Arabidopsis thaliana: one gene and its partners. The protein of the gene in region 2 purifies or fractionates together with the protein of the main gene of each other region. This does not show direct contact. Each region holds a gene or a part of one and is shown on either strand. Other genes may lie near its edges. The genes, in order: AT1G14810, CSY5, LIN2 and hemf2.

What was found.
Region 1: the proteins of CSY5 (region 2) and AT1G14810 fractionate together in Arabidopsis thaliana (co-fractionation; one large-scale study listed by BioGRID). This does not show direct contact.
Region 3: the proteins of CSY5 (region 2) and LIN2 fractionate together in Arabidopsis thaliana (co-fractionation; one large-scale study listed by BioGRID). This does not show direct contact.
Region 4: the proteins of CSY5 (region 2) and hemf2 fractionate together in Arabidopsis thaliana (co-fractionation; one large-scale study listed by BioGRID). This does not show direct contact.

What each region holds. Positions count from the first base shown.
Region 1 is NC_003070.9:5,100,468-5,107,917, forward strand, and holds AT1G14810 (semialdehyde dehydrogenase family protein), read right to left. Parts: upstream 4,384-7,450; 5' UTR 4,167-4,383; coding exon 3,606-4,166; intron 3,494-3,605; coding exon 3,407-3,493; intron 3,306-3,406; coding exon 3,261-3,305; intron 3,166-3,260; coding exon 3,070-3,165; intron 2,974-3,069; coding exon 2,872-2,973; intron 2,837-2,871; exon of another isoform or gene 2,715-2,836; coding exon of another isoform or gene 2,685-2,714; exon of another isoform or gene 2,535-2,684; coding exon 2,380-2,534; intron 2,299-2,379; coding exon 2,217-2,298; 3' UTR 2,092-2,216; coding exon of another isoform or gene 1,971-2,091; 3' UTR 1,957-1,970; downstream 1-1,956. Other genes in the region: AT1G14800 (Nucleic acid-binding, OB-fold-like protein), read left to right, coding at 62-144, 267-387, 553-778, 1,971-2,091; AT1G14820 (Sec14p-like phosphatidylinositol transfer family protein), read right to left, coding at 4,770-4,931, 5,020-5,130, 5,216-5,333, 5,421-5,457, 5,696-5,954, 6,255-6,326; DL1C (DYNAMIN-like 1C), read right to left, coding at 7,232-7,357.
Region 2 is NC_003074.8:22,189,320-22,198,178, forward strand, and holds CSY5 (citrate synthase 5), read left to right. Parts: upstream 1-3,410; 5' UTR 3,411-3,568; coding exon 3,569-3,619; intron 3,620-3,702; coding exon 3,703-3,756; intron 3,757-3,872; coding exon 3,873-3,914; intron 3,915-4,044; coding exon 4,045-4,110; intron 4,111-4,200; coding exon 4,201-4,266; intron 4,267-4,355; coding exon 4,356-4,469; intron 4,470-4,561; coding exon 4,562-4,625; intron 4,626-4,761; coding exon 4,762-4,844; intron 4,845-4,940; coding exon 4,941-4,993; intron 4,994-5,076; coding exon 5,077-5,154; intron 5,155-5,268; coding exon 5,269-5,397; intron 5,398-5,562; coding exon 5,563-5,605; intron 5,606-5,703; coding exon 5,704-5,790; intron 5,791-5,922; coding exon 5,923-6,024; intron 6,025-6,205; coding exon 6,206-6,313; intron 6,314-6,388; coding exon 6,389-6,439; intron 6,440-6,523; coding exon 6,524-6,597; intron 6,598-6,680; coding exon 6,681-6,732; intron 6,733-6,834; coding exon 6,835-6,927; 3' UTR 6,928-7,128; and 1 more. Other genes in the region: AT3G60090 (VQ motif-containing protein), read left to right, coding at 1,539-2,012; AT3G60110 (DNA-binding bromodomain-containing protein), read left to right, coding at 8,674-8,859.
Region 3 is NC_003070.9:867,197-874,552, forward strand, and holds LIN2 (Coproporphyrinogen III oxidase), read right to left. Parts: upstream 4,113-7,356; 5' UTR 3,980-4,112; coding exon 3,455-3,979; intron 3,376-3,454; coding exon 3,300-3,375; intron 3,212-3,299; coding exon 3,117-3,211; intron 3,032-3,116; coding exon 2,948-3,031; intron 2,767-2,947; coding exon 2,679-2,766; intron 2,587-2,678; coding exon 2,462-2,586; intron 2,357-2,461; coding exon 2,258-2,356; intron 2,175-2,257; coding exon 2,106-2,174; 3' UTR 1,657-2,105; downstream 1-1,656. Other genes in the region: NET3A (Kinase interacting (KIP1-like) family protein), read right to left, coding at 213-297; NAC006 (NAC domain containing protein 6), read left to right, coding at 4,678-5,016, 5,096-5,197, 5,249-5,486, 5,544-5,710; AT1G03495 (HXXXD-type acyl-transferase family protein), read left to right, coding at 6,240-7,280. UniProt on the Arabidopsis thaliana protein: Key enzyme in heme biosynthesis. Catalyzes the oxidative decarboxylation of propionic acid side chains of rings A and B of coproporphyrinogen III.
Region 4 is NC_003075.7:1,409,752-1,416,611, forward strand, and holds hemf2 (Coproporphyrinogen III oxidase), read left to right. Parts: upstream 1-3,033; 5' UTR 3,034-3,062; coding exon 3,063-3,587; intron 3,588-3,675; coding exon 3,676-3,751; intron 3,752-3,830; coding exon 3,831-3,952; 3' UTR 3,953-4,008; coding exon of another isoform or gene 4,009-4,014; 3' UTR 4,015-4,773; intron 4,774-4,866; 3' UTR 4,867-5,031; downstream 5,032-6,860. Other genes in the region: AT4G03200 (catalytics), read left to right, coding at 68-216, 370-526, 617-857, 944-1,185, 1,278-1,541, 1,623-1,733, 1,805-2,029, 2,102-2,305 and 2 more; XTH9 (xyloglucan endotransglucosylase/hydrolase 9), read left to right, coding at 6,268-6,439, 6,563-6,663, 6,763-6,860. UniProt on the Arabidopsis thaliana protein: Key enzyme in heme biosynthesis. Catalyzes the oxidative decarboxylation of propionic acid side chains of rings A and B of coproporphyrinogen III.

The DNA of each region.
Region 1 (7,450 bases), on a different chromosome or scaffold from region 2:
GGACGAGCTGAGGAGCTTGAGGACGAGCAAAGGAGCTTGAGGACGAGCAGAGGAGCTTGAGGACGAGCTGAGGAGCTTGAGGGCGAGCTGATAAGCTTGAGGACGAGCAGAGGAGCTAGAGAACGAGCTGAGGAGCTTGAAGACGTTTTAATATGGATTTCTTCGTCCTTTTTTCCTTGAGATGCCTCTCTATTTATAGAAAAACTAAGCTGGTGATAGGATCATGGACCAACTTTTATGGGCTTTTTGGGCTTGATGTTGATTAGTTTATTCTTGATTTGGGCCGAGCTAAAATGAGGGGTGCAATCCATCCCCCAACATGCCCCATGGAGCTTTCCGTATTTTTCTTCCCCAGAAGCTCAAACATCAACAGTTATTCACTAAAAGGTACTTAAATACATGGCTTAATTCCTACAAAATTCTACTACTTGCAATTAAATTCATACTTTTAATATCTCAAATCGAAATTGTAACTGGAGAAAAGCAAAAACCTCCTATAGATCTTCCTTTAAATTACTATAAAATCATCATCTCCTATACTAGGTGCATCAGCAAACGATGAACGCGTGCTCAAAACCCTTAATCTTGCTCCGTTGGTGAAGAAACCGTTATCATGCCGCAAACACCATCTTATTATGAAGAAATGTCTTGCCAACAACAACCCGGATGCTCACTACATAAAAGGTATAATATGGTACTTTAACCTTGATCATTGTGACGTTGGTCTCCACCATATTGGCATAGCAGCTAACGGAGGCCAGAAAGAAGCAATCTACATGTATGTCATGCTATTATTATGTAGAGGAAGGACTGAAGAGGGAAAAACCTATATGAGCCAACTTGAATGGGCTAAAGACACCACCATGGCTGAAACGTGTTGGAAACAAATCAAAACTTCACTAAATGGGATTAGAGTGGCGAGAAAAAGATGCTACATGATATCACTTCGCAACATGAAACCCCCCGACGTGTGCCATCCAAGAAATTTGGACAACACATGTGAGAAATGTTTTTTCTACAAACAAATGTTTAAGTTTATTTTTATGGTATAACTTAAACAAAACAACTAGAGAGTTGGAAACTGTTTTTAAAAAATTCCCTATAATGTTTGTGGCAGTGAACTATCACAAAGACTCAAAACAAAGTAAAAGTTATTACTCTTATTTCTTTTGCTTTAATGTGTGTCATTCCTTGCTGTTATAAGGAAATTTATATTTACAATAAAATCAAACTTTTAATTAATTATCTAAGCATATCGTACTTTCAATGTTAATATTGTTATAATCCAACTCTTTTTGGCTAATTCGCGAAGAGACGTTGAAAAGTGAAATCTTCCCCAAACCAAAGAGTAGTTTCTAAGATTTTAACAGAGACACAAAGAGAAAAAACAAATGGGCGGGTTCATATTGGGCCAAAATTAACAATGGCAACGATGTGTAAAATAACTTCGTCGTTAGTCTCTGTTCTTCGCTATCCTCTGCAGCAACCGCTTAATGCGAGAGAGAGAGAGATTTCCATTGTATTTTTAATTTAAAATAAAATATATAAAAACAAGACCAATGTAACAAATGCATTGCTTAGATATATATAACTCTAAAAAATATTCTTACAAGATAGTAAGTTTGGTCTATTATCCTATAAATTCTAGCATATAACCGGTAACAACATGAAAAAAAAATGTAAAACTATACATAGATTACAAAAATGTAGAAATCAAAAGATAAGATTAGCAAATAACAAAGATATTCCCTTTTTAATCAAAGATCAGTAAAAAAAATCGAAGTGGTTAGTGCATACTAACAAAACCAAAAACAAAACCAAAAACAACGCGGGTCTCCTCCCTAGTCTTAGTAACGAAGGAGTGATTTTAGGATTTGATAATATCCACTAAACAAGTAAATATTTGCTATAACTATCAATAAAGTGGGCCCCCACTGGTTCAGTCTTCAGTGTGTCAAATAATTGTGGAGCCCGGTTGTCTTCGGTGAGATCAACCAAGTCGGTACAGATTCGAACCGGAAAATTGCCAAGAGGTTCAAGCGTGTGCATGATGAGTTCAGATTTAAGAGACAACTTTATGAATCAAAGTAACAAAATTGGTCAAAATAGAAAACTCACAGAACAAAAAATGAGACAAATTCTTGGCTCAAATCTAATAATACAGTGATCTCTTTGTCAAGAATTTCATAAGAAGCAAAGTGAGAGCGGGTTCAAATTCAGAGAAGCATCTCAGCGATCTGAACAGCATTCAGAGCAGCTCCTTTGCGTATTTGGTCTCCACAAACGAATATGTCCAGCCTGAATTCACAAAGTTATATCCTTTTAGGCATATCGCAAAGACATTTGCTTCAAATTCAGTAGAAAAGAGTGAGACTTTACCCGAAATTGCCATCTTGAGACACGTCTCGCCTTATCCTACCAACCGCTACATCGTCTTTGTTAGAGACATCGAGTGGAGTAGGGAAAGTATTTGAAGCACGGTCATCTATTATATAAACTCCAGGTGCTTTCTTCAGTATCTCCCTTGCTGTGTTCTGTTATGATACAGTAAGAAAAACCGTTATAACCTGAATAAGAACTTGATCATAAGATTCTTTTAATTGCGCAACAAGAATCACAATACATGCTACCAGAGCAAGTCCAAAGAACAACTTCAGGGTTTAACTCTGCAAGTGCATCAAGAACTATCCAAGCCTACTTATGCTGATTACATGCTGCTCCACATTTTTCAATGGCTTGAGTTAAATTAAAACCATAGAATGTGGTTTAAAACTTCAAATTATGATTCAAATTGTCATATCAGTGAGTGAAATCATAAGGTAACACAACAACACAGAATCAGTAGAAATCGGGTTCGACGTGTGTTATTACCTCATCAAGAGGATTCTCAAACTGAAGATTCACACTCTCTGCATGAGCACGCATAACTGGAACACGTATACACGTTGCTGTTACTTTTACTTCTGTGTCATTCTGTGAAGGGCAAGAAATTGGTGTGAGATATCTAAAATTTTTGAACAAAAGATCAAAGTGAAATGAACACAAAATAGCACTTAAGTAACCACTCACCCAGATCTTCCTTGTCTCCTTCACAAGTTTCATTTCCTCTTCGTTGTAACCGTTGTCAAGAATAGGAGCATTATGTGAAAACAAGTTAAATGCATACTGCAGAACAACATACAAAACCATCACATTACTCAAAAAGGGATTTCATAATCAGCACATTCGAAATACAAACTATAAGCAAATTAAGCACTCACCTGCTGCCCGAAGATGTTACAAGTCGGAGGTTTACCCTCTAAAACCTAAGAAAACACACCAATGCAAAGAAGACGAAGAAGCAGAATCACAACTCAGCACAATCATTAAACAATTCAATCAAAGAAGGCTGAAATAGAAACAAAACCTCACGAGTCTGCTGAACAAGCTCTTCCATAGCTGCAGCACCAGCACCACTAGCTGCTTGATATGTACTAACCACCATTCTCTTCACCTATTATAGCCAATCAAACATTATTCAGAGCACTAAAGTCTAAAGCTTCCATTGATTCTCTAACTACCCTTCAAAATTTTGGACTAAGCAGATTTCAGAATAAAAATCGAACCTTTGCGTGATGATGAAGAGGCGTAACAGCCATCAAACAGATAATGGTGGAGCAATTAGGGTTTGCAATCAAAGCCCCTTTGCCCATTCCAACTTTGATCCCTTTCATTGCTTCTGGATTCACTTCAGGAATCACAAGCGGAACTCCATCAACCATTCTAAAAGCCGAGCTATTATCAACAACAATGGTTCCTTTCTCCGCCGCCAGAGGACCAAACTCTTTGCTTATGGATCCACCAGCACTGAACAAAGCTATGTCTACACCGTTGAAGCTATCCGCCGTGAGCTCCTCCACCGTGTATTCATGGCCATCGAAGGCAACACGCTTCCCTGCGGAGCGTTTCGATGCAAGCATCTTGATGGAGCTATAAGGGAAGTCTCGATCGGATAAGACGGAGAGGAATTCTTGTCCGACGGCTCCGGTAACGCCAACGACGGCGAGTGAAGGCGCAGATTCTTGGAGAGACATTTTGACTCTTGCGGAGAAGTGTCTAGGTTTAGCTCTGAGAGGAAGGCGAGAGAGGAAATGGGTTTGTGGGGTTTGATGAGTGAACGTCGCCATTGTCGCCGCCGTGAGGAAGAAGAAGTGAGAGACAGAGAGATAGAGAGATTTTGGAGGCGGCTGATAGAAAAAAGCTTGGGACTTTAAAGTGTGTTAGTGAATTGACCAACATCTTCAAAATTCAAAACAGCAAGATTGTTTAATTTAAGATACAGAAACAGCATGATGTTTGAAACTGCTCATTCACCAGATTGAGTATATTCACACAACTTTCTCATGTGTTTCATCATTTCTTCTTTTGGAAATATTAAGTTGTTGAAAAGTCTTTTGTCATATAACAAGGCTTAGGGATCATATTTAAGAGCTCGTGATTCTGGTTTTTAGCTCAAAGACATCTATAGCTAACTTTGGAATCTTACACGTACAACAAGAGGACATTAAGTTTCTAGAAGTTAGTCTGGTCTGTTGATCAATCCTGCTTTACAGCTTACTTATGATGTGAATAAGAAAAGATAAGCAAGAGCGAGCACTCAGTCACCAGATTGAATATATTCGCATTACTTTCTCATGTTTTCATTGCTTCTTTTGGAAATTTAGAGATGTACCACTAGTTATGTTCTGACCATTACAAATATTCAGGTTAATGCTTCCAAAAATAAAGAGCTAAACATTATTGTTTGTTAGAGTTACTGGAGCAGCCTGAGGAAGAAGAACATCTTGGATTGCTGTGAGCTTAGCTCGGCCACCGTACTCTTCCGGTAAAGCATCTGCTCCGATCTCCTCCTCGAATTTTCTCTGTTCTTCTCCATCCGTAACTATCACAATCTATGCAACAGCAAAATCATAATTTATGTGATTCGTTGCTCAAGAACCATTAGAGATAGATACATCAAGAGGAGATTAAAGATCAAACCTTTTCCTGAGTTGCTTTCTCTAGAAAACGGCAGACGAATTTCCAAACGGTCACGAAGAATCCGGGCATATGCAAAATGTAGCATTTTGCAAGGCGTTCCGGGTAGTAAGACTAGAGAAACATTTTCCAAATTTAATAGACAGGACTTCTTTTTGTGTGATAACTATATTGTTTCAGGAAGAAGGGAGATGCTTACTTGTAAGAATTGAAAGCCAGTGATCAATCCACGAGCATCAAGGTTCTTGTATGTAATGTTTGCCAGATCAATAACGGCTACTAATTTCTCACCTCCAACTTCTTTGCCATTGTTGCCACTGAAACATAAAAACCAAAAAGCTTGTCTCACAACCAACTAACCGGAAGATTATTGAAGTGTTTTGGTTTCAATAATGTGTAAACACCTTGCGATTGTTTTGTCTAGCGCATAAACAACAAACTCTGCAACATCAAACAGATAAAAGATTAGTTCATAGATAATTATCGCAAGAATCAACTCAAGGAAAACACATAGATGGACTCAAAAAACTTCATTCATTTGAAGTCAAATGAAACTACTCAATAATTAGAGAACCAGGAAAGAAGCTGATCAGTTCTATGAATACAAAAGTCACTGAAAGTCAAGGGACAGATTATTTCCAACGAAAGTAAAGGTCAGAAGCAAGTGAGAGGTGATTACTCTTGAAGTTAGCTGGATCCTTAGAAGCAAAATGCTTAGAGGTTATGACAAGCACCAATGGGTGTCCGGATTTGGTCGGACCCTGAAGACAGACCTTTCTGAATTCCAATTCATCCTGCACTTCTGACTCAGGGATGAATCCAGTTGGAGGAACCATGGAGGCTCTCCATTTTTGCCAATCTACAAACATCTTTGCTGCCTTGACTGGGTCCATTGATCTTGCCACCAGGAACCTCATCAATGTTGGTTTGTCATATCCCTTTTCAGAGGAAACAACAACAACAAAAACCATTGATGAGATTTTCTGATTATGGATTCACTTTTACTAAACTGTCTCTACTGTTAGGGTTTCTGATGGGAGGCTCAAACCTAATCAGACAAACCACTATGACGAGAATGGAGACAGAGTTTTAACAGTGTAGCCCATATAAAACCCATCAAAATCAAATGACAGATATTTCTCATTTTCTAACGAGACATTGTCAGTGAAACTCATGAAACGGCCAAAAGATGCAAGCTTTGTAAACTGTAATGAAACTAAAGCGTCGAATTAGATTACCTCAGTAGAAGAAGAGAGTTTCTCGACCGATTTTCTCAACTGGGTCAAGGCAAGTTCTTGGCTTTCCTCCATGATCTTTGGCTCTCTCAGATCCTAAAAAAATCTCACAGAGAAATAAAGAGAGAGCCTTTTGTGGTCCGTACAGACGCACGATAAAGTAAGTTGAAAAAGTAAAGAGCTTTGATGTTGACAAAGACCCAGAAGCCACAGGAAGAAGAAACAGACAAAGTATTGGGTACTTGTCTCTACGGTAAGTGGATAGAAATAACTCAATAAGCCTTTCCCCAACTCGCTGCAATTAATGGGCAGCTGGAAGTTGAAGCTCTCTCTTTGACTTTTGTTTCTACTACTTTGACGATTTAAAACAGCTGTGATGATTACATTGCTTTTTAACTCCTAAATCCCGAATCTTAAGGCTTACTTAAAGTTCTTTTAATCATTTTTCTGATCAACCATGTGAAACAGGCTTTGTTAACGGTTATACATTTAGCTGCTTGTTCTTAATTGAGCATTGGAAATTCAGTTCTAACGATTTTTATTGTTTGTGACAGAAGAAAAGTCCTTTAGGTTAATAAGTTGTTCTATCTACATGAGATGTACATTAAATTTTCAAGAAAGATTAGCTTCTTTGTCATCTATTTGTTTTTAAACTTGAACTGGATCCAAATACAGTAATGGCACAAGTGGAGACCAATTGAATAAAAATCAAAGATTAGCTTCCTTTTTGTCTAATGTAAAGAGTGCGACTTCAAAATATGTCTTAACTGTTCTAAAAACCAGTATTCAAGAATCGAAGATACACACCAAAAAAAAGTGGGAAAGTTGTGATAGAAATTAGCGACCCAAGAAAACATGAGTAGTCGCGTGTATGTTTGTGTAGACTGGAAGTTAGAACTCCAAACATATCTATTATAATGCAGTGTGCCCACACGAACAAAGAAATTAACAATATAAAGAATATGTCTTAGCAAACCCCCTTACTTCCAAGCCACTGCATCGATGTCGTCTCTAGCTTGTTTGTAAAGCTCTAGCCGTTTAGCTAAGGTTCCTCTTCGTTCCATCAGCTGTGGGTCTTCGTCCAACATAGCACCCAGCTTCTCCTTCTGCACCATCATTTTTCTTAAATTTATTCTCGATTTGGGCATGGCATTTTCTACAAGGTAACAAAATAATCCAAAGGGTAATAATATAGTTTA
Region 2 (8,859 bases):
CTTTTAGTTTAGGTTTAGGATCAAATGATATTTTGGTTAGCAACAATTAATAGTTACATTAGATAAATAATACGAAAAACATCTCCCTGTTAGACAACAACAAACTGAAAATAAAGGATTTGACGTAAAACAAGTTAGTTTATCATGATGTGAAAAACAAATTGATCGAGTAGAAACTCAAAGCATCCAAAGAAAGTTGGATCAACGGTTGTATAATTCAACACATGGTAGTTAGTATAGGGAGATTTGTTTCACTAGTTTTAAGGAGAGTAAGTCAACAATCCCGCGTATCAACATTAAATAATGACCAAAACAATACGATTTGTTCTTACAAAAATATCATACAGCTATTGTTAACTACAAATGTCAAATTCTTGAAATTTTATATAACCGAAACACGCTAATGTCAAACTATGATCTATTTAAATTAAATAGATAACTTTGACCTTTAAATCAGTTGATGCAACATTCAAGTAGTGAACAAAAAAAAATCGATTGATGTAACTAATTATACTTATTTTACTAGTTTGGATAAACGAAATTGTCTGACCTAGTGACCTCTCCATATGATTAGTGGCCGCTTTTTTTTTGGATAATTAATTAATCTTTTTTTTTGGGTCAAACAATTTTGGATTTTTGATCCAAGGAATCAAAACATCAAAACAAAAAGCTTTGCACGTGTACAGATGAGTCACATATCACGTCCGACGAGTATCTGTCGTGTTTATTAAGTTATTAGTATAGGGCACACGGAATTTGTTTTTCTTTTTGTCGGTTTATCTAATCTCTTAATTCCGAAACAAATGTAATTTTTTTACTATTAACGATGTTTACCATAGACAATAAATAATTACATTTCACATATGCTCCGTGAAAATTACTAAGACGAATTTCACATATGTAGTGAAAGATTGTTTTAAAATATATGTACAACTCCAAGAAACCCTATCTCCATAAGCCATGTAACAAATTATTATTATTATTATTTTGGTAAAGGACATTTTAACAAATTCGTAAATAAAACAAAGTCAAATTCACCTCCAAAGGTTAAGTCGACGACCTATATTATATAGTCAACCACATATATTAAATAAAACATCGCTCACGCCATCTACTCATATGTATGTTTTTACTTAATTATATAGCTAATTGATTATATGATATATCATCAGTTGGAAAATTAAAAACCATTTTATTCCGATAGCGTAAAAGAAACAGATCATTCTTTTTGTTTAAATTACAATTTATTTAACTCAAGTTGTTGAAAAGTGTGTAATGGAAGGCAGGTCCATAGCTATTTCGTCTTATATTTTTAACTATTTTCATTTTGTTTGTCTTTAAGAAATAGTATTTTATTAATGTTTTTTTACAAACCAACAATAAAACTGTATATTCACATTTTGTTTTTTTTGTGTATATATATAGAGACATATAATCCACAACATATGCATATCATTTCCCAAAACAATACAAGAAACCTGAAATCCAAAAAAGAAAAACCCAAAATCTTCGCTTCTTCATCTTCTTTTTACGTTTATATGGTGAGAAATTCTATGAAGGCTGAGTACGATATAGATCATCTTCCTCATCAAACCTTTTATGGTGATTATTCAAAAACTTTGGTTCCCATGAACAAGAACTCCCAAATAATAACCAAGATCAAGCCTAAGATCCGTATCATCCATATATTTGCTCCCGAGATCATCAACACCGATGTCAAGAACTTCCGCACACTCGTCCAAAGTCTAACCGGGAAACCGGAGATCACCAAAACCGGTTCTAAGAAAAAGATAACCAACACAAATTTTCCTGCGCCACCGGGTTTGCCTCAAGATTCCGGCCAAGAACATACGGCTGAACTGGACAACAGAATAATAGGGAGCCACGTGGTGAAGGAAGAATGGGGATCAAGTTCAAACACAAATACTTACTTTGATTTTGACGGTTTGATCGATCTTGATGAAGACGACAACATATTCTCAAGTCGATGGTTTGATCTTCAACAACAATAATTAGTTTGGTCACACCTTACCCTAATATGTAGGGTTTCTACTAATCGTAAGTCCTGTTGGTTTTGATGATGATTTGATCATTTATTCGATATGGAGCATAACAAGACATGGGTCAAGACAAGACCAAGGTTGAGACGATGATCATCTATATAGGTAGGAACATACATAACTTGTATATATGTACAAATGTTTGGATTTTTTGGGCTTGGGTGCCCTTTGATTTAATTTGTTAGACTGACTTAATTTACCAAGAAAGAGTGTAGTGATGAGTTTGTAGACTGATTTTGCCAAGAAAAAGTAAGTTTGTGTTTTGATCTCCGATCATGTGAAAACTCTACTTAAAAATGGTGTAACGTTGTACTCACGCGTGCGTGTGCAAGTTTTATATATAGAAAAGCGAGAATGATATTGTGATTGAATTTTTTAGATTGTTCATTTTTTTTCGTCAAATTATTTTGTTTGTTAATTCATATATAAGTCATGTTACTTACAACAAATTGTTTGATAAAACAAAAATGAATTCCATTAAACTGAATTAACGAAATACTATAATGATAAATGATTCTTACATGACTCTAAAAGAGTTTCGATTTGAATATATAAATGAATAAAGTTCTGTTTTATTGGCGATGTTCTTGATATATACCTTCAAAACTTTATGGCTAAATTACATTTTAACTTCTCAAAACGTTAGATTATGAAAGGTGGACTCACATTTCATAAACATTAAAATGATATGGTAATATGATTATAATGAGTTGTAATGGATATATGTCATATTTTTCCAATCTCATTCATTGAAATATCAGTTTATTTTTTGGATGACATAACGATCAATAGTGTCATATAATATGATATCCAATGTTTTAATATTAACTAGCTATAGCTATATCCATCATTGTTAATAGTTGTGTTACATCATTAAATAGTATTTCAAAAGAATATAAAAATTTCTGATAACTAATGGAGAATGAAGAATATCAAACCGCCCATTCGACCAAGAAATTATAATAACGAAGTTTATAACTTTTTTTTTCAATTGTGAAATGTCATTTTTACTTTATTTATTTCCAACAAAATAAAATTATGTTTTATCTAAACCCTTGGACTTTACCAAGAAGCTACTTTTTTATTTAGCAACAGCAAAAGCTACATACCATTTGTTCTTTATTTATTAATGACCGTTTTTTTAGGCATTAGAATCGTTACGGCTGCTTCGAATCTTGCGTCTCACGGACCGACGGAACTAACCAATCTCAACCGAACCCGAACATAACCTGTTCGTTTGGTTTTCTAAATGGTAATCAATTGGTTCATTATACCGGTTTGGTAAGAAGAATCCGTGTGTTTGGTTTACATATGTTGTAATTTGACGCTTGTTCATCACGTTGCAGATATATCTCAACATCTCTCAATTTTTCTCTCTACGTTGAAGAAACTTTCGAATTTCCCGTTAGTTCTTCTCCACGCTTTCTCTTTCCCTTTATCTCTTATCTGGTTAAGCCAATCTTGATTGTTTGGATTCGTAACCGATCAGTGTTGTGAGGTTTGAAAGAATGGTGTTTTTTCGCAGCGTATCAGCCATTTCAAGACTACGGTCTCGAGCAGTGAGTAGATTTAGCTTTCATCCTTTTTGTGTTTTGTTTGATGTGATACAATTTGATGATCAGATCTAATATAAGAAGCACAGGTGCAACAATCCTCACTTAGTAACTCCGTCAGATGGCTCCACTCTTCTGAATTGGTACTTTCTTAGGTTTTCATGTTCTCGTGATCATGCGGTTCAGTTTGAGAACCAAAAATTTGGAATTTTACCTTCTAGGTTTTGTGTTGATGTTGCTTAAAATGATGGTAATGCAGGACTTGAAGTCGCAGATGCAAGAGATCATTCCAGAACAACAGGTTTAGTTTCTACTTCGTTGTGATTGAGATTGTTTCTAATTTTAGGGCAGATTTCATGTAGAGATCAAGCTCTTCTCTCTGTTTTAGTTGATGTCATTTCTCATACACAAACACAACTTTCAACTTTCAGGACCGTTTGAAGAAACTGAAATCAGAACAAGGAAAGGTTCCAGTGGGGAACATCACCGTTGATATGGTACGGATTCTAATGATATTTGTGATTACACAAAGGCTTTATCTTTTAAACATACTCGTATATATAGTTTTACATGTGGTATTTGTGAAGGTACTTGGTGGAATGAGAGGGATGACTGGATTACTCTGGGAAACCTCATTGCTTGATGCAGATGAGGTATGGTTATAATTTTGATCACATAGATAATTTTCAGGTCAGATCTTGAATTAGAATTATATAACATATGATATTATCTTTTGTATCAGGGAATACGGTTTAGAGGCATGTCGATTCCTGAATGTCAGAAAATATTACCTTCAGCTGAGTCTGGAGAAGAGCCCTTGCCTGAGAGTCTTCTGTGGCTTCTATTAACTGGAAAGGTGTGATAATCTTAAAACATTTTATACATACAATAAGTTTCAACTTTATATATGAATGATCTAAAGTATAGTTTTCCCTCCTTTCGGTATAGGTGCCAACTAAAGAGCAAGCTAATGCTTTGTCAACAGAGTTGGCTCATCGTGCGGCTGTGCCAGGTTTGTAGTTCACCTCTAGGCTCTGTTTGTTTATGACCTCAGTTTCATGACTCATCAAAACTTAGCAAAATACAAGCTGATGATAATTATAAACTGGATATTATGATGTTGCAAATATAACAACTCTCCATTGCAGATTATATATACAAAGCTATAGATGCTTTGCCTTCAACAGCTCATCCAATGACTCAATTTGCTAGTGGTGTTATGGCCCTTCAGGTGGATTGCTCTGTTATGTACTATTTTTTTTTTCTATGCATTCTCTTAGAATTTGTTTATTTTCAGGAGCATCTTATCTTGTTGATTGTTATTCAGGTTCAAAGTGAGTTTCAAAAGGCGTATGAGCAGGGTGATATTTCTAAGTCAAAGTATAAACTTTCAATAGTTCTATACTTTGTTTCTTGATTGGCTTATAGTAGTAGGCATCATAGAAACTGAGGTTTCTTGTCAGGTACTGGGAACCAACCTTCGAAGATGCCCTAAACTTGATTGCTCGTGTTCCTGTTGTAGCTTCATACGTTTATCGGAGGTTAAATTTTAGGATCTTTTCCAATGCTTTTAGCTTCCTGGACTAGTTAATTTTCTTAGATTTTCCTTTCTTCAGAGTGTTATTTTTCAATGTCCATTCTAATTCACATTGCAGGATGTACAAGGATGGTAGCATCATTCCATTAGATGATTCTTTGGATTATGGTGCAAATTTTTCACACATGCTGGGATTTGATAGTCCTCAGATGAAAGAGCTCATGAGGCTTTATGTCACTATCCACAGGTTAGTCCTGGTTCTCTTCGTTTCAACATGTCTCATTAATTAGAATACATAAGCTAAAGTTTTCTTGTATATAATGATGATCTTCCTTTATTTTACCAACTCTTACCAAATTTCTATAGCATGATCAAGGTTTTTTTTTCCCTTGTCTACTGGTTTCTGTTTTAGTGATCATGAAGGTGGAAATGTTAGTGCTCACGCTGGTCACCTGGTATGTATTTGCCACATGATCTTGATGCATGATAATGTTTTGAACTTATAGACATTTCTGATGGTTCTGTTTTTGGCTAATGATGTTTCTTCACTTAGGTTGGGAGTGCACTTTCAGATCCATATCTTTCATTTGCTGCTGCATTGAATGGTTTAGCTGGGCCACTCCATGGTTTGGCTAATCAGGTATTTATATCCTTAATGAGTCTTATATTGTTCGAATCTACAAGTGTATATAACTTGAACTCTAAGATTGACTCTTAATTATAAGCTTAAACTTGGAATCTTACTCTGTTTTTTTTCGTTGTCTTGTTGTAGGAAGTTTTGCTGTGGATCAAATTAGTTGTTGAGGAATGTGGAGAAAGTATATCAAAGGAACAGCTAAAAGATTATGTCTGGAAAACGTTAAACAGTGGCAAGGTTGACAAAATTATGCTCTGCTTTGCCTTTTGAAACTATCCATATGTATTGCATGCTAATCATGACAGGCCATAACTTGAATTATTGTATAAATAATGAATAAAAGCTTCGGATTATGTTTTGATTATGGGGTTTGCCTGTGAATGTTGTCAGGAAACTTAAATAAACATTTGTCTTGCAGGTTGTTCCAGGATATGGCCATGGTGTTTTGCGTAAAACGGATCCAAGATATATATGCCAAAGAGAGTTTGCCTTGAAGCATCTACCTGATGATCCTCTTTTTCAGCTGGTAACTTTTTTTCCCCCTCAAATCTTTGGTCATGCTTTAAAATTTTACTGGCTCACAAATTATGCAAGTCTATAGGTCTCAAAACTTTATGAAGTGGTGCCTCCTATTCTAACCGAGCTGGGAAAGGTACTACTTATACTCATTCATTTCATGTGCTACCAGATTTTCTGATTTTCTCTGGTTTTATGAATCTTGAAATTGCTGTATCAGGTCAAGAACCCGTGGCCTAACGTTGATGCTCATAGCGGAGTGCTTCTGAACTACTATGGTCTAACCGAAGCAAGGTAGGAACTACTTGTGTATCGAGGCTTTGACCTTGTTTTGCTGAATCTTGGTTATTATAGAGTGACATTCCTTTCAAATATAGATACTACACGGTGCTTTTTGGCGTCTCAAGAAGTCTTGGAATCTGCTCGCAGGTACATACATACATTCATGCCATCGACAATTCGATTTTAGTACGTATCGCCATATCCTTCACAATAAAGTCAGACTAATCTTTTATTCCTTTTCTGTTTCAGCTGATATGGGACAGGGCACTTGGACTGCCACTTGAGAGACCAAAGAGTGTAAACATGGACTGGCTCGATAACTTCACGCGCTTGAACCGCTAAGTTAATCCCTGACTGATGTTGGTCAAGGTTCTCTCTTTTATCACTTCAGCCTTCTCTTCCATTTGATTGGGTAGCTTTTAGAGATAAAAAAAAAACGATTTTTCGTCGAAATTTTGTTCTACAGAGTTTTCATTTTGGTTCTTCTGCAAAAACAATAAAGTCAAACAAGTAAAGAAACAGTCTTTCTCAGATTGAGACACCATATTATTGTTCCTCAACTTTGATAGACAAATGATGACCATTGATATGTATTGATTAGTCTTTGGTGAATTATCGCATAATAAACAATACTCATGCAACCAGTCCCGCTCAAACAGAGTGTTTGAAGTGAACAGAAGCAGAGTCAAGAAATTCAAAGCCTCGGGATCAAACAGAAGCTTCCTCCTATCTTAAGAAGCTCCCTACGAAGCTTTATGATGATTCTACAAAACACATTTGCTATCTTCAGTGAACAGTAAGATGCAACGTGTTCTCTTCTAAACCTTCAGATATTTGGCTAAGTATAAGACTCTTCGTAATCACAAAAAGCCAGAAATGCGAAATTGATTTTGAGTCTTCTTCCTCACAAGTTTTCTCTAACTTTCAGAGGAGTCGCTGGATCCTGTTACCGAGAATTATTAGAAACCGAGAGCAGAGGTTTCTAGCTAGGACAGGAAATATATTATTAGAACATATCCTAGTCTTCCTTGTCATGGCCAGTCCAGTGGTGCAAGAGAAACATACAATTCCAACTCAAGTATGTGATGGACTTGACTTGCTTAAGCCGTACGGCATCCTCGGAAAACCAAAACCATGTCGGAAAAAGGAACTTGACTTCCTTGAGGCTTACGGTTTCCTGGGCTCGAACCCAACTACCCAAGTCAAGTGACAGAGAGTCTTGACATAGATTAGGCACCTCCTTACTAAAGCCAGACAACTATACAAGATTATTGGTTCAAATATTAGTCAATCCTTTCGCGTTTTCTGGCTTGACCCGTCTCGTCATGCAAGGGTTGGTCACGAGTTTCTTATTCTTCTAAAGTTTACCAAAATTAATCCCCTTTCTTTATCTTTGCGTGTGAGTGTGAATTAAAGTATTGATTTATTTAATGATGGGTTTAACTTAAAAAGTTTAAAATTGTGTCATCAAAACCCATCAAGACGTGTCTTGTAACTCTGTATCACACAAACATTCGTGTGTACTAATAAATGCAAATATTTTAGTCACACCTTTTCGTAATTATTTATTTATCATTTAAATAAGTGACAAATCTGGGTCCAATCTCCATTAGAGGCCCATTTACAACGAATTAAAGCCCATGTCTTTTTGAAGTGGATAAATTCCATGCCCAAGTTACTCACATTAACCAACATCGATATAAAAGGAACATTCTATTTCTAGTAACCCATGAGGGTCATTCCTGTAAATAGATCTGCCTTCCTTCCTCCTCTCCGTAGACGGTTGTTGCACACAAAGCGAGGTTGGTTTGACCCGAACCTACCCGACCCGTTACTATATATATAAACACAAAATGGGTAAAGCAAAGGTGAAAATCTTATACGTAGGTCTATATCATTTCCATATGAAGTGGAGATATATATATATAGCTAACGAGACCCTAAATATTTTTTTCTTTCTTATAACATATAGTTTCATTTCATATATTTAAAGGCTTCATAATACGAAACAAGGTGATAAGAAAAAAAAAAAGAAAAAAAAAAAGCAAATTAAAAATTAAATCCCTAAAAACAAACGAGCGTATTGTTATGAAGGAGGACGAAGAAGAAGAAGCAGTGATATCGAACGGCATGAACGACGACGACGATACTAACAATATTAACAACAGTTCCACTGAATTTGATAACAATCGTATCGGAGACGGAGACGATAACAGTAATCTGAATCAGATCAAACAAGTATGGGGAACGTGGGAGGAGTTGGTGTTAACATGC
Region 3 (7,356 bases), on a different chromosome or scaffold from region 2:
ATAAGATACCAAGAGAAGATACCAAGAGAAGAGCATCTTCTCCAACAACAACAAAGCTTTGTGACTAAAATTCATCAAGCAAAAACGCAATAGCTTACCTTTGAAATCAATAGACACACATATACCAAAATCAACACTTCGAATTCGAAAGAAGAATCAAATCATAAGTAAATATATAAAAATTCTTGGAACCCAAAAAGAGAAATTTTTACCAGAGAGAGTAGAATGAAGCCAAGGAGAGAAATTAGTAGTGTTGTGATTTCCAATCCACCACCATTTTGATGAGTCCATCACCATCTTTCACTCTTCTTAAAGCTTTCTCCACTCAAAAAACACAAAACAGCAAAATACAAATCAAAGACTCACTCTTTGAATTATTAGATTAGTTTCATCTTCAGTAACACAAAAAGCAGAGACTCCGAAAATTACCAACCTCGGTGCGTGGAAAACCAAGATAGACAATAAATAAACGGCGCCGTTTCTTCTTCTTCTTCTTCTTCTTCTTCTTCTCCGCCTTGAGAGCAATTTTAAGGAGTTTAGTATTCTTCTGTCTTCGGACTTGAGAGTTCAGAGTCTTTTATCATTGACATTAACTGTCTTAACCAATCGCATATTGCCACGTATGGTATTTAAGTAATACACAGCAGAGTTTGTAATTTACGGATATACCCCTGGAGGCTAAGCGGCGGATGACATGGCAGAACTTCACTGTTTATGTCCTTAAATGACGTTTCCACCCCTTAATATGAATTTTTGGACTGCCAGATTTGGTTCTTCAAACGAATTATTTATTACTTAAATAACTATTTTTTATAGAAAATTTCCTTAATCAAAGTCAAGTAAAATACTATTCAATGATTTCCTCTCTATATCAGAGTTGTTCTTTAATTTATTTAAATGTTTATAACCTTATAACAGTGTAGTCAAAGATTTATCATATATGGAGCTATGAACAGGGGTAGTTTGGGAGTTATGTTCAGATGATAGATATGAAAGTTATCTAAATGGGCCCCACGAGGCATGTGGGCCGGGGTGAGCGTAACACGCAAAAGGAGTTTGTGCAACGGTCGATAAAACTCTTTGCCGCAACTTTCCATGGCTTATTAGTGTGTAATGAATAAGACAAAAAACATTAAAGTAGTCGGGAAAAATAAAATATTAAAGTAAATATAAAAAATTGATGAACCTCATATTTAGTTCTTCATTTGGCTTTGTTTCATTATTAGCTCTTTTTACAATAAGACAAGTGAATCTATTTTTTTTCTTTTTAAGGATGTTATTGTCTTTGAATAATTTTAAATTTGTACCCTATTTATAGATTAAAGTATTGATTAACACTTACAGGCGTTAAGCACTATTTCTACATAAAAAAAATACACTGATTTGCATAGAATTCTGTACAAACAAACAAAAAATAGAAATTTATTGCTTTATTTGGGGATTATTAAATGATTCAGGGCGTAATAACGAGAGAGATGAAAAAAAAAGGAAATTATGACAGCTAACACTAAGAGGCTTGATGACAAAAAAAAAAAAAAAAAAAAATACTAAGAGGCCTAATGGCTTACATTAGGCTGGGCTGATCACTGTTTCTTCTCTTTGGAAAAGCTCAGATTTCAACACTTTGAGCAATAAGTTTTTGTTTTGGGTTCTTAAGGAGGATATGGATTTGGATTAGAGTCCGTAGATAAGCATGTCACTTGTGAAAAAGTTGAATGCACAAGTTGTCTTCGTTGCCATTGGCAAAAGAAAGAAACGAAACGACAGCGTAACAGACGCATGTTAACATGCACATCACAAGGCTAGAGTATAACTTTCTTTTCAGTAATCTAATCCTCTAAAGCTGCTCAAAACTTGCAAGAAACCAACTGTTTGCATTGGTAAGTTTTGACTTTTAACAACACTGCTCTTAGTTTGTCTTCATTGCCATCGCAAAGAGAGAAAGGAGATGATGTTAACATGCACATCACAAGACTAGATTTTGACCTGACCTTACACACTCTCTTTCTCCATCTCTCCAGTTATCTAATCCTCTAAAGCTGCTCAAAACTTACATGAAACAATGGAAATAAACTCACTCTTCTCACAACAATGGGAAACACAGGCTAGATCCACTCCTTCGGGTTGATGCAAGCATCCAATAGCTTCCACTCTTCGGTCCCCTCTTCCGGTTTCTGCACTCACAAACACCATTACTACATTGCCATATTCAATTGAATTTAGACCAAGTTTCTTCACAAATGAGGAAAGAACTTACATGGTCATATTCCCATCTTGCTGAAAGCGGAAGAGAGACGAGAATGCTCTCTATTCGTCCTCCTGTCTTCAGACCAAATGTCGTTCCCCGATCATATACCTTCCATCCATCATTACAAATACATTAGTGAACAAGGTTCATAACGAAAGATTGGAGAGATGAGAGTGAGAACAGAGAAAAAGACTAATGTTTTGGTCATAGTACCAAGTTGAATTCGACATATCGCCCTCGTCGCAACTGTTGCCATGCCTTGTGCTGCTCTGTAAATTCCATGTCTTTCCTTTTCTCTACTATAGGTATATAAGCCGGCACCACTGAGTTTGCGCATTCTGTAAACACCAATTGCTAAATTAGTCTACCAAGAAACTAGACCAATTAAAATAAATCGTTTGTTGTAGATTGAGGACAATCAGTCCCTTACCAGTGGCAAATGACAGAAGCATTTCCTGATCATAGTCATTAAGATCATCAAAAAATATCCCTCCAAGTCCTCGTCTCTCATCACGGTGCTGCAAGCAAAATCAAAGATTTCTAAGAAAAGTTTTCAAAGCCCTCACACTAACAATAGGCTTCTGAACGTCTCTCTAAGCAGTTTCTACCCTCTCAGATTTGACTATAACATCCCTAAACACAACTCAAAGAATAAGGCCCTCAGTTCCAGAAAATGCTTCAGGATCTCACAAAACTTACCTTGATGTAAAAGTAGTCATCACACCACTTCTTGAATCGGGGATAGAAGGAAGGGTCAAATTTGTCACAGGCTTGCTTTTGAATCTACAACAACAAAGAGCAGTTTATATAAAAGCAACTCCATGATCACAAAGCTCATATCTTTAGAACAAGGAATAAGGCTCAGTACCGAATGGAAATGCTTGACATCTTCTTCAAAGATGTAAGCAGGAGTGAAATCAGTGCCACCACCAAACCACCATTGCCTTGGAGCTCCAGGAACATCTGCGCCGTTGAAAATTAAAAACTTAAGACTGTTGTCCAAACAAAAGACAACAACTTTACAATCTCACTGAGACTTTAGCTTTTTTACCCTTTGGAGCATCTGTCTCGAAATAGCGATAATTGAAATGCAGGGTTGGGGCAAAAGGGTTCTTGGGATGCAAAACCTAGAATCACACAGAAATCCGTAATGATAAAACATGAGAACCTCCAAGAATCGTAAAATTGAAGGGAGAGATTCATTACCGAGCTGACTCCAGCAGCGAAGAACGGAACAGGACCAGGTTTCTGATCAGAAGCTGAGCCCTTTGCAGCTCTATAAGCTTCAGGAGGCATAACACCATAAACCACAGAGACATTAACACCAGCTTTCTCAAAGACATTCCCGTCCTGCAACACACGACTGATTCCACCGCCACCACCAGGTCGAGACCAAACATCTTCTTTAAACTTAGGACCGCCTTCTATAGCTTCAATTGCATCACAAACACTGTCTTGAGCAGCCCTAATCATAGTCTCGAAACGAGCCCTGACGGAAGAAGAAGAAGAAGATGGAGTGACGTCATCAGAATCCCTAAGGAAAGTAAAGGGTCGTTCAGTTTCGGGAACTTCTTTCTCAATTGAGACTGAACATCGCAAGGCGAGATTAGGTTTATTTCTGATTGGACGGGAGAATCTGAGAGTAGAGGGATTGGGAGAATAATGAAGACGATGAGAGGAGAAAGGAGCGAAAGTAGGAGAAGAGAGGAGAGTCGACGAGTGAGAAGCCATGTTTGATCCGAATTTGGATTTGATGCTGAAGAAGAAGATGATGATGGAGAGATATTAAATGATAAGAAGTCTTCGTCGTCCACTGATTTTGACCGCTCTTCCTTTTTATTTAACAGCTCAAGGTAAAAGAAAACACAGTTCCAGTCTTCTCAGACTAAACCACTTCTGAATTATTTAGCCGAAACCAAACCAGACACGAAATTAAAATTGCGGTTTAATTTGGTCGAACCGAAGATATTGATACACAATAGGCTCTTATCCTTCTTAACGGGCTTAATTGCCCAAATTAGGCCCAAAACGATTAGCCGGTTTACGGCACTATGCTATTTTGATGTGGATAAATCATGGTCATGTAATATATCTTTATCTATCGTTAGAATCTGTGATAAACAAAACAAAAGTGTATTATAGATTCGAATCCTATCTAATTATTATTTCAAATAACCAAATAGATGTAATTACAACCGTCTTATTCTTTCCAAAAAATAGTTAATCGCTGACAAAAGAAAATCCGGTTGGGCCCATCACGTTGTCTATATATTCATGATCATATAGAGAGTTCAGCCGCTTGACCTGCGAGGAATTCAAGAAAACCCTGCTTCACAGAGCAGTATTACACAAGAGACGAAAGAGCACTTTTAACCTTAGCAATTATATAGGTACCTTAGCTAGTTCTTCTTCGAATCTATACGATCGATATGAAGATTCTTCCGGTTGGATCACGGTTTTGTCCGACGGATCTAGGGTTGGTGAGGCTTTATCTTCGAAACAAGGTGGAGAGAAATCAGAGCAGTTTCATAACAACTATGGACATCCACCAAGACTACCCTTGGCTTCTTCCTCACGTAAACAATCCTTTGTTCAATAACAACGAGTGGTACTACTTTGTTCCGCTTACTGAACGAGGTGGCAAGATATTAAGCGTACACCGGAAGGTAGCCGCAAGAGGAGGAAGCGAAGGCGGCACTTGGAGAAGCAACGATGGGAAAAAAGAGATCAAGGACGGACACATGCAAAAGGGTGATGGGTTACGAGCAGTCTTTCACGTACCACAGGAGAGTGCATGGAAAGCTTGTCAAGACCGATTGACAGAAGATGGAGTATTCTCTTCACTAGAGTGATGACCTCCAAAAGGTTGTCTTGTGTCGGATCCGATACAAGAAAGAGGCGAACGTCAACGAGTTTGGACTCGTTAACCATCAGGCTCATCAGACTCAGGTGGCGGAGAACACCAACAACATCTTACGGAACCAAGTAGTGTAAGAAGAGGATGCTTTAACCGGTTTTGCTGATCAGCTTGAGATGATGCTAGAGGGACAAGAAGACCGTGAGCAGAAAGAAGAGGCTGATTTAACCGGTTTTGCTGATAGCCTTGAGACGATGCTAGAGGGACAAGAAGATCATGAGCAGCCAGAAGATGCTGATTTAACCGGTTTTGCTGATAGCCTTGAGACGATGCTAGAGGGACATGAAGATCGTGAGCAGCCAGAAGAGGCTGAATTAACCGGTTTTGCTAATGATGACCTTGAGACGATGATGCTAGATGGAGAATAATCTCGCGAAGTTACTCAACAACAACAACAACAACAACAACAACAACAACGTCAAGAAGATTGTGACGTTACTCAAGAGCAAGAAAAAGATGATGTGATGGTACTGATAAACAATCCTAATGATGCCCTCGCATTGGGGAATTATGAGATTATTGATCTAACTAGGGTTGATAAATGATACGACACAAACCAGAGAGGATAGAATTATATTTTAGTGGGTTGAGTTGATATGTGACAAAGATTACTATAGACATATGGTTAGTGTATTTGTGTAACTCCGGTAAAGGAGATATCATAAAAATAGTGGATTTTCCGGGGTAAAATTCTAGTTTAACGAACTTTATTTTAGTTTGTACTTTTGTTTTTCCATAACTCTACAATTAATATAGAGTTGCAGCAGTAATGTTAACTATTTAGCTATGAATTTCAATTGTGTACTTAAAAGTAATGTTTTTGGTTTTCAAAGATTATAAAATTCGAAAATACTAATTGTGATTTGTGAGTTCCATTGATAAATAAGCAAACATAAAGGACCAACAAATGTTTTGAAAACCAAAAAAAATGGTGGTTGTGGAGGTTGGGGCACATGAGAGCGTTTTTTTGACCAAAGTACGTAACAGAATCAACTTCTTCACTTGCCCGGTGGTTTCATTTTCCTTTTATAAAAAGACAAATATGAACTCATTTCCTCAAAACTTAATCACACCATGGCGGCTCAACTTCAACCTTATAACATCATCGAGACCTGTCACATCTCTCCCCCAAAGGGCACCGTTGCATCCACCACTCTTCCTCTCACCTTCTTCGATGCCCCCTGGCTCTCTCTCCCACTCGCCGATTCTCTCTTCTTCTTCTCTTACCAAAACTCAACTGAATCTTTCCTCCAAGACTTTGTACCCAACCTCAAACATTCCCTCTCCATCACTCTCCAACATTTCTTCCCTTACGCCGGTAAACTGATTATCCCGCCTCGTCCCGACCCTCCATATTTACACTACAACGCTGGCGAAGACTCTCTTGTTTTCACCGTAGCAGAGTCTACTGAAACCGACTTCGACCAACTGAAGTCTGATTCCCCTAAAGATATCAGTGTGTTGCATGGCGTCTTGCCCAAGTTACCTCCTCCTCACGTCTCTCCGGAAGGAATTCAGATGCGACCAATAATGGCAATGCAAGTCACCATCTTCCCTGGAGCTGGAATCTGTATAGGCAACTCAGCTACACATGTTGTAGCAGATGGAGTCACCTTCAGTCATTTCATGAAGTATTGGATGTCATTGACCAAATCCAGCGGCAAAGATCCGGCCACGGTTCTTCTACCCTCTCTGCCTATTCACAGCTGCAGAAACATAATCAAGGACCCAGGAGAGGTAGCCGCAGGACATTTGGAGCGGTTTTGGAGCCAAAACTCTGCAAAACACAGTTCACATGTTACGCCTGAGAACATGGTCAGAGCCACTTTTACATTGAGCCGGAAGCAGATAGACAATCTCAAGAGTTGGGTTACAGAGCAGTCTGAGAATCAATCTCCTGTTTCTACCTTCGTGGTGACTCTAGCTTTCATTTGGGTAAGCTTGATTAAGACACTTGTTCAAGACAGTGAAACAGAGGCCAAGGACGAAGTCTTTCACTTGATGATCAACGTGGATTGCAGGAATCGTCTCAAGTACACACAACCAATACCACAAACATACTTTGGCAACTGTATGGCTCCTGGTATCGTATCAGTCAAGAACACGATTTGCTAGGAGAAAAATGCGTCATGGCTGCTTCAGATGCAATCACAGCGAGAATCAAAGATATGTTATCAAGCGATCTGTTGAA
Region 4 (6,860 bases), on a different chromosome or scaffold from region 2:
TGTCTACTAGAGAAAGTAGCCTTGACTATATTCATGGACTTACGATTCTTTTTACTGGCACTTTTAGGTTTATATGTCGTTCGTCCAGGCTCTGTATGGTGGAGGAGGGTGGCCACTGTCGGTATTCCTTTCACCTGATTTAAAGCCGTTGATGGGTGGAACCTACTTTCCTCCAAATGACAATTATGGACGACCAGGATTCAAAACTCTCCTTAAGTAAGTAAACCCTTTTTCTCTTATTGTACAAAAGCATTCTAGGCTTGTAATGGTGCAATAAAAAATAGAGTATGTATGTAGAAACAAACGCTCTTGGCGAAGACTATAGTTGATTCGTTTATGTTCTCCATGTTTTCTTTGGGTTTGGTTCAGGAAGGTGAAAGATGCGTGGAACAGTAAGAGGGATACTCTAGTGAAGAGTGGTACATATGCTATCGAAGAACTCTCTAAAGCTTTATCTGCAAGTACTGGAGCCGATAAATTGTCAGATGGGATTTCTCGGGAGGCTGTGAGTACATGTGCAAAACAAGTATGATTCGACTCGCGGACTCTAGAAAAATATATATGATTGATACATCAACATGAAAAGGTCTTCTAACAGTGAGTGTTTGTGTTAAAGCTTTCTCGGAGCTATGATTCGGAATTCGGTGGGTTTGGATCTGCACCAAAGTTCCCGAGGCCTGTCGAGATCCAGCTGATGCTTTATCATTACAAAAAGTTGAAGGAATCGGGGAAAACTAGTGAGGCTGATGAAGAGAAAAGTATGGTTTTATTCAGCTTGCAAGGCATGGCAAATGGAGGGATGCATGATCACATTGGAGGCGGGTTTCATAGATACAGTGTCGATGAATGTTGGCATGGTAAAACTTCAAACAGTATCCTGTAGTATCAAGGTGATGAAAAATATTTTGAGATTGACGCATTTTTTGCTATTTGTCTGGTGCAGTTCCACATTTTGAGAAAATGCTGTATGATCAAGGGCAACTAGCTAATGTGTACCTCGACGGTTTTAGCATTACCAAGGACGTTATGTATTCTTATGTGGCAAGAGACATCCTTGATTATCTTAGAAGAGACATGATTGCACCTGAAGGTGGAATATTCTCAGCTGAAGATGCCGATAGCTTTGAGTTCGAGGGGGCAAAGAGAAAGAAAGAAGGAGCTTTCTATATATGGACAAGCGATGAGGTTCTTTTCTCTGATATATGATATATTCATGAGCTGACTCTGGTTTCCCTCTGCATACTGACATTTGTTTTGCGTGTGTGTTTGGTTTCAAGATTGATGAAGTCCTCGGGGAGAATGCTGATCTTTTCAAGGAGCATTATTATGTTAAGAAATCAGGTAACTGCGATCTTTCGAGCAGGAGTGACCCGCACAATGAATTTGCTGGGAAGAACGTGCTGATCGAAAGAAATGAGACGTCTGCTATGGCATCAAAGTTTAGCCTCTCTGTTGAGAAGTATCAGGAGATATTAGGTGAATGCCGAAGAAAGCTTTTCGATGTCAGATTGAAGCGACCTAAGCCGCATCTAGATGATAAGGTAATACTCTTCTTGGAATTCTCATGTTGTCTTCTCTACTGTTTCTTCAGATTTGTTAACCATTTAAGATTTCTTTCATAGATAATCGTGTCTTGGAACGGTCTTGTTATCTCGTCTTTCGCAAGAGCTTCCAAGATTCTTAAGGCTGAGCCTGAAAGCACCAAATATTATTTCCCTGTGGTGAATAGTCAGGTAATGAATGCTACACCCTTTCCTTTAATTTCTTCTTTGACCGTTTTGTAATTAGAAGACTCATTTTTCAGCCAGAGGATTACATAGAGGTTGCAGAGAAAGCAGCTTTGTTTATCAGAGGAAATCTCTATGATGAGCAGTCTCGCAGATTACAACACAGTTACAGACAGGGGCCATCCAAAGCTCCTGCCTTCTTAGACGATTATGCTTTCTTGATCTCTGGTTTACTCGATCTTTACGAGAATGGAGGTGGGATCGAATGGCTTAAGTGGGCGATTAAACTTCAAGAAACACAGGCAAGTGAGATCTTTACTAGCTCGATTTGTTAAAGTTCTTGATTTTGGCTAAAAAAGTTAAAAACATTTTAGGATGAGTTATATCTGGACCGAGAAGGAGGAGCATACTTCAATACTGAAGGACAAGACCCATCGGTTCTTCTTCGTGTAAAAGAAGATCATGATGGTGCAGAACCTTCAGGGAACTCTGTTTCTGCTATCAATCTTGTGAGGTTAGCTTCCATAGTCGCCGGAGAAAAAGCTGAATCCTACCTCAACACGGCACATCGTCTCCTGGTAAACAAACAAACAACTAATCCCATTTGCTATTCATAGAAAGAGATTATTGAGTCTCTTTGTTGTTGTTTTTGCAGGCAGTCTTTGAGTTGAGGTTAAGAGAACTGGCGGTGGCTGTGCCATTAATGTGCTGCTCCGCAGATATGATCTCTGTTCCGTCGAGGAAACAAGTTGTATTGGTTGGTTCTAAGTCTTCCCCAGAGCTTACCAACATGCTTTCTGCAGCACATTCAGTCTATGATCCTAATAAAACGGTAAGAGCTTAAAAAATTATCCAAATTTCTAGATTCAAGATTTGTGACTTTTGGTGGTTTTACTGAGCAGGTGATTCACATAGATCCCTCTAGTTCTGATGAAATCGAGTTTTGGGAAGAGCATAACAGTAATGTAGCTGAGATGGCTAAGAAGAACAGAAACTCAGAGAAAGTGGTGGCTCTTGTTTGTCAACACTTCACTTGCAGTCCTCCTGTCTTTGACTCTTCTTCTCTCACTCGCTTGCTTTCCAAGTAAACAAAGATCATTCCATGTTTAATAGTTGCTTGTACTGTAAGGAACAGATCAACGTTGTTCTCTCTGTTACAGTCTTACAGAGTAGATAAATAAAGAAGAGAACTAAACCGAGTATGAGGTTTTTTGGTTGAACTAAACCGGAAATAACCGGGTTTGGTTTGGTTAAAAAAACAGAGCTTTGACGATTCCTTATCATCTTCTATCTTCAGCAAAAAGGTGAAAACTTGGATTCGATCGATCGCTGAAAATGGCGTCTCACTCTTCGACTCTCTTCACTTCTCCTTCTTCCTTCATTCTCTTCTCTTCTCATCGTCTCAAATCTTCTCCGAATTACTTCACTTACCACTTTCCTCGTTCCGTAAAGAGACCACATTTCGACTTGCGATGCTCAGTCTCAATCGAGAAAGAAGTTCCGGAAACAGAAAGACCTTTCACTTTCCTCAGAGTCTCCGACGGCGATCAAACTCAATCTTCTTCTTATTCGGTTAGGGCTCGTTTCGAGAAAATGATAAGAACTGCTCAAGATAAAGTCTGTGAAGCCATTGAAGCAGTCGAAGAAGGTCCTAAATTCAAGGAAGATGTTTGGTCTCGACCCGGTGGAGGTGGTGGAATCAGTCGTATTTTGCAAGACGGAAATGTATGGGAGAAAGCTGGAGTTAATGTCTCTGTGATTTATGGTGTTATGCCTCCTGAAGCTTATAGAGCTGCTAAAGCTGCCACGTCTGAGCAAAAACCTGGTCCGATTCCGTTCTTTGCCGCTGGAACCAGCTCGGTGAGTTCTCTCTCTCTCTCTCTATCAGTCGACATTGCTGTTGATATGGTCTCTGAGTTCTTTGATTGAGCTTGATCCTACATTCTAGGTTTTGCATCCTCAGAACCCTTTTGCTCCGACTCTGCATTTCAATTACCGCTATTTCGAGACCGATGCTCCAAAGGGTAAGACCTTAATCCTCTTTGAGAAGTGTAAAGTTCCAATTTTTTGGTTGGATGAAGCATTTGATTTCATCACTTGTAGATGTTCCTGGAGCTCCGAGGCAATGGTGGTTCGGTGGTGGGACTGACTTCACACCTGCTTACATCTTTGAAGAAGACGTCAAGCACTTTCATTCGGTCGTTAAACCTGATCCATTGTTCTGAAAGTTTGAAGCTTTGTGATTATGGAGATGCTGATTGAAATATCTTTCTTTGTGTAGGTTTAAAAGCAAGCCTGCGATAAATTTGATCCGTCGTTCTACCCTTGGTTTAAGAAATGGTGTGATGACTACTTTTACATTAAGGTCTGCAGTTCCTTTAACGCTATTCTGATTGTTTGGTGAGATCTTAGCACTTTGTGGAACTAAAAGACCTTAGTTTTAGAGTCATGTATGTGCAAGAATAGATTTAGAGCCTCAAGGTTTTGTTTAGGTTGATACAGTGATAAGTTGTCGCCTAGGATTTGAAAACACTAAAAACTTTACGGTCTTGCCTGCAGCACCGTGATGAGAGGCGAGGGCTTGGAGGGATATTTTTTGATGATTTGAATGACTATGATCAAGAGATGCTTCTGTCATTCGCCACTGGTAGTGACCAAGATATAACTTGTGACATTTTGTTTTAAGAAACTTCCTAGTTGACTTATTTGAATACTGAGATGAATTTTGCAGAATGTGCAAGCTCAGTGATACCAGCTTCTATACCCATAGTAGAGAAACGTAAAGACACACCATTTAACGAGCAACACAAGGCATGGCAACAGCTGCGAAGGGGCAGATATGTTGAATTCAACTTCGTAATTGGATACTACTAGCTTTGTTTTTCTTTCTGTATAAATATCTCTTGAAACCTCGTCTCATGTTTTGTTGCTGATGGTAAAAATAAAGGTGTATGACCGCGGAACAACATTTGGTCTGAAGACTGGAGGACGAATAGAGAGTATCCTTGTCTCTCTTCCGCTATCTGCGAGATGAGAATATGACCATGTAAAGTTTCTTGATTCAAGAAACTAAATCTTGTTTCATCTTAGCTAATGAAACTTAACTACTGATGGTGTTTGTCTCTTGTTGCGGATGCAGAAACCTGAAGAAGGAACTGAGGAATGGAAACTATTAGATGCTTGTATCAATCCAAAAGAGTGGCTTTAGTTAATTAATTGTGGTTATTTCCCCAATTAGCTCTTTTATTAGTTTTGTCTTTAAAAGCCTTAAAAGAGTAAAGAGTCTAATGAAAAGTGAGTGAGATAAAGAAATTGTAATTTGGCGTCATCTCATCATGAGTCACTGACAAACAAAGATCATGATGGTTGATGATGGAGTATATAGTACCAATCGTGATGATGATGATAAAAGTAATTAACTTTTAATTTTTTTTACTGACACAGTAAAAATAAGAGCCGTTGGCTCAAATAGCCGAGCCTCTCGGTGCACGCACGCATGCCACTTGCTCGGTAACTGTTCACTAGACAGAACACAACAACACTCAAATAGAGTGATAACATTGAATCTGATGATTTGGTTTAGTATAAAAATCGTTTCCAAGTTTCAACGAGTGGGACTTGTGTTAGGTTAAACAATTTCGGATTAAGTAAACGTCACTGTCTCATTTGTCTTGATACAAGAAACGCCCGTGATATTTTTTCTTCGATGTCGTCCAATGGGGACAAAGAAACAATTTAGTCCCCGGATATACACACACACACACAAATAATACATGGGTGTTGTTATTATGGCTTACCTTACACAACACAACTTGCCAATGTTTTTAAATTTACTAAAAACCAAAGCCAGAAGATATTTTATTGCCACAAATTGACGTCACACCTGCCCATATCTAATCCATGTCTGCAACACAAAAAACAAAAAATTGAATTCCCCCAAAAAGTGAGGAGAGAGATGTAAAGACTGTGTACCAATTCAATATCTTTTTGAGCAGAGTAAAAAAAAAAGTTTAAAAATTTGAGCTTCTGACACAAAAGGAGCCAAATGTAATAGCTGGATCCAATCCAATGCAATGAAAACATCTTAGCTGTAAAATGGTCCAATCTCTCTCTTTTCTTTCTACATTATTACTTCCACAGAATCAATTTATCTCTCGAAAAGCAATAAAGTCTCTATATTTGTGCTCAAAGATAGACAGAGAAGCATAAATACTTGTCCTCTGTGTAGTACAAAAGTGGAGCCCCACTGAGTGATGCCCTCACAGTAACGGCTACATTTTTCTTTTATCTCTCTGTCTCTCTCTTCTTTTGAGTGATTTTTTATGAAGATGGGTTCTTTTGTCCACTTATTACTGTCCTGAATCACACGTCGAATCCTACGTGGCATCTCTCTCCATTGTATGCCAGCTCACTCTCACTCACTCACTCACCTCCCGCCTTTATAAAGCCTTACCTCTCTCTCTTGTCTCCTTCATTGAGTCAAGTGCTCGAGACTGTAGAGTGAAGTTTGATTTATTTAGAGAGATAAGTTAAAAAAAAAATGGTCGGTATGGATTTGTTCAAATGTGTAATGATGATAATGGTGTTGGTTGTCTCTTGTGGTGAAGCTGTTTCTGGAGCTAAGTTCGATGAGCTTTATCGGTCAAGCTGGGCTATGGATCATTGTGTCAACGAAGGCGAAGTCACAAAACTCAAGCTTGACAATTACTCTGGTAAGTAGATGAAGACAAACCCATCTCTGTTTAGTTTCCTCTGTTTTTGGTGCCATCTCTGTTTTGTTTCCTCTGTTTTTGTGGGTTCATTATAATTGAATATGTTTTTATTGAATTTTTCAGGAGCTGGGTTTGAATCAAGAAGCAAATACTTGTTTGGTAAAGTCTCTATCCAGATTAAGCTTGTTGAGGGTGATTCAGCAGGAACAGTCACTGCTTTCTACGTACGGAACAAAACCCATCTCTTCTTGTTCTGTTTTTAATCCCCTATTTGATTATTATGTCTCAAATATTGAAATGTGACAATGTTTGTTCTAATACAGATGTCTTCAGATGGTCCGAACCACAACGAATTCGATTTTGAGTTCTTAGGGAACACTACCGGCGAGCCTTACATAGTCCAGACCAATATCTACGTGAA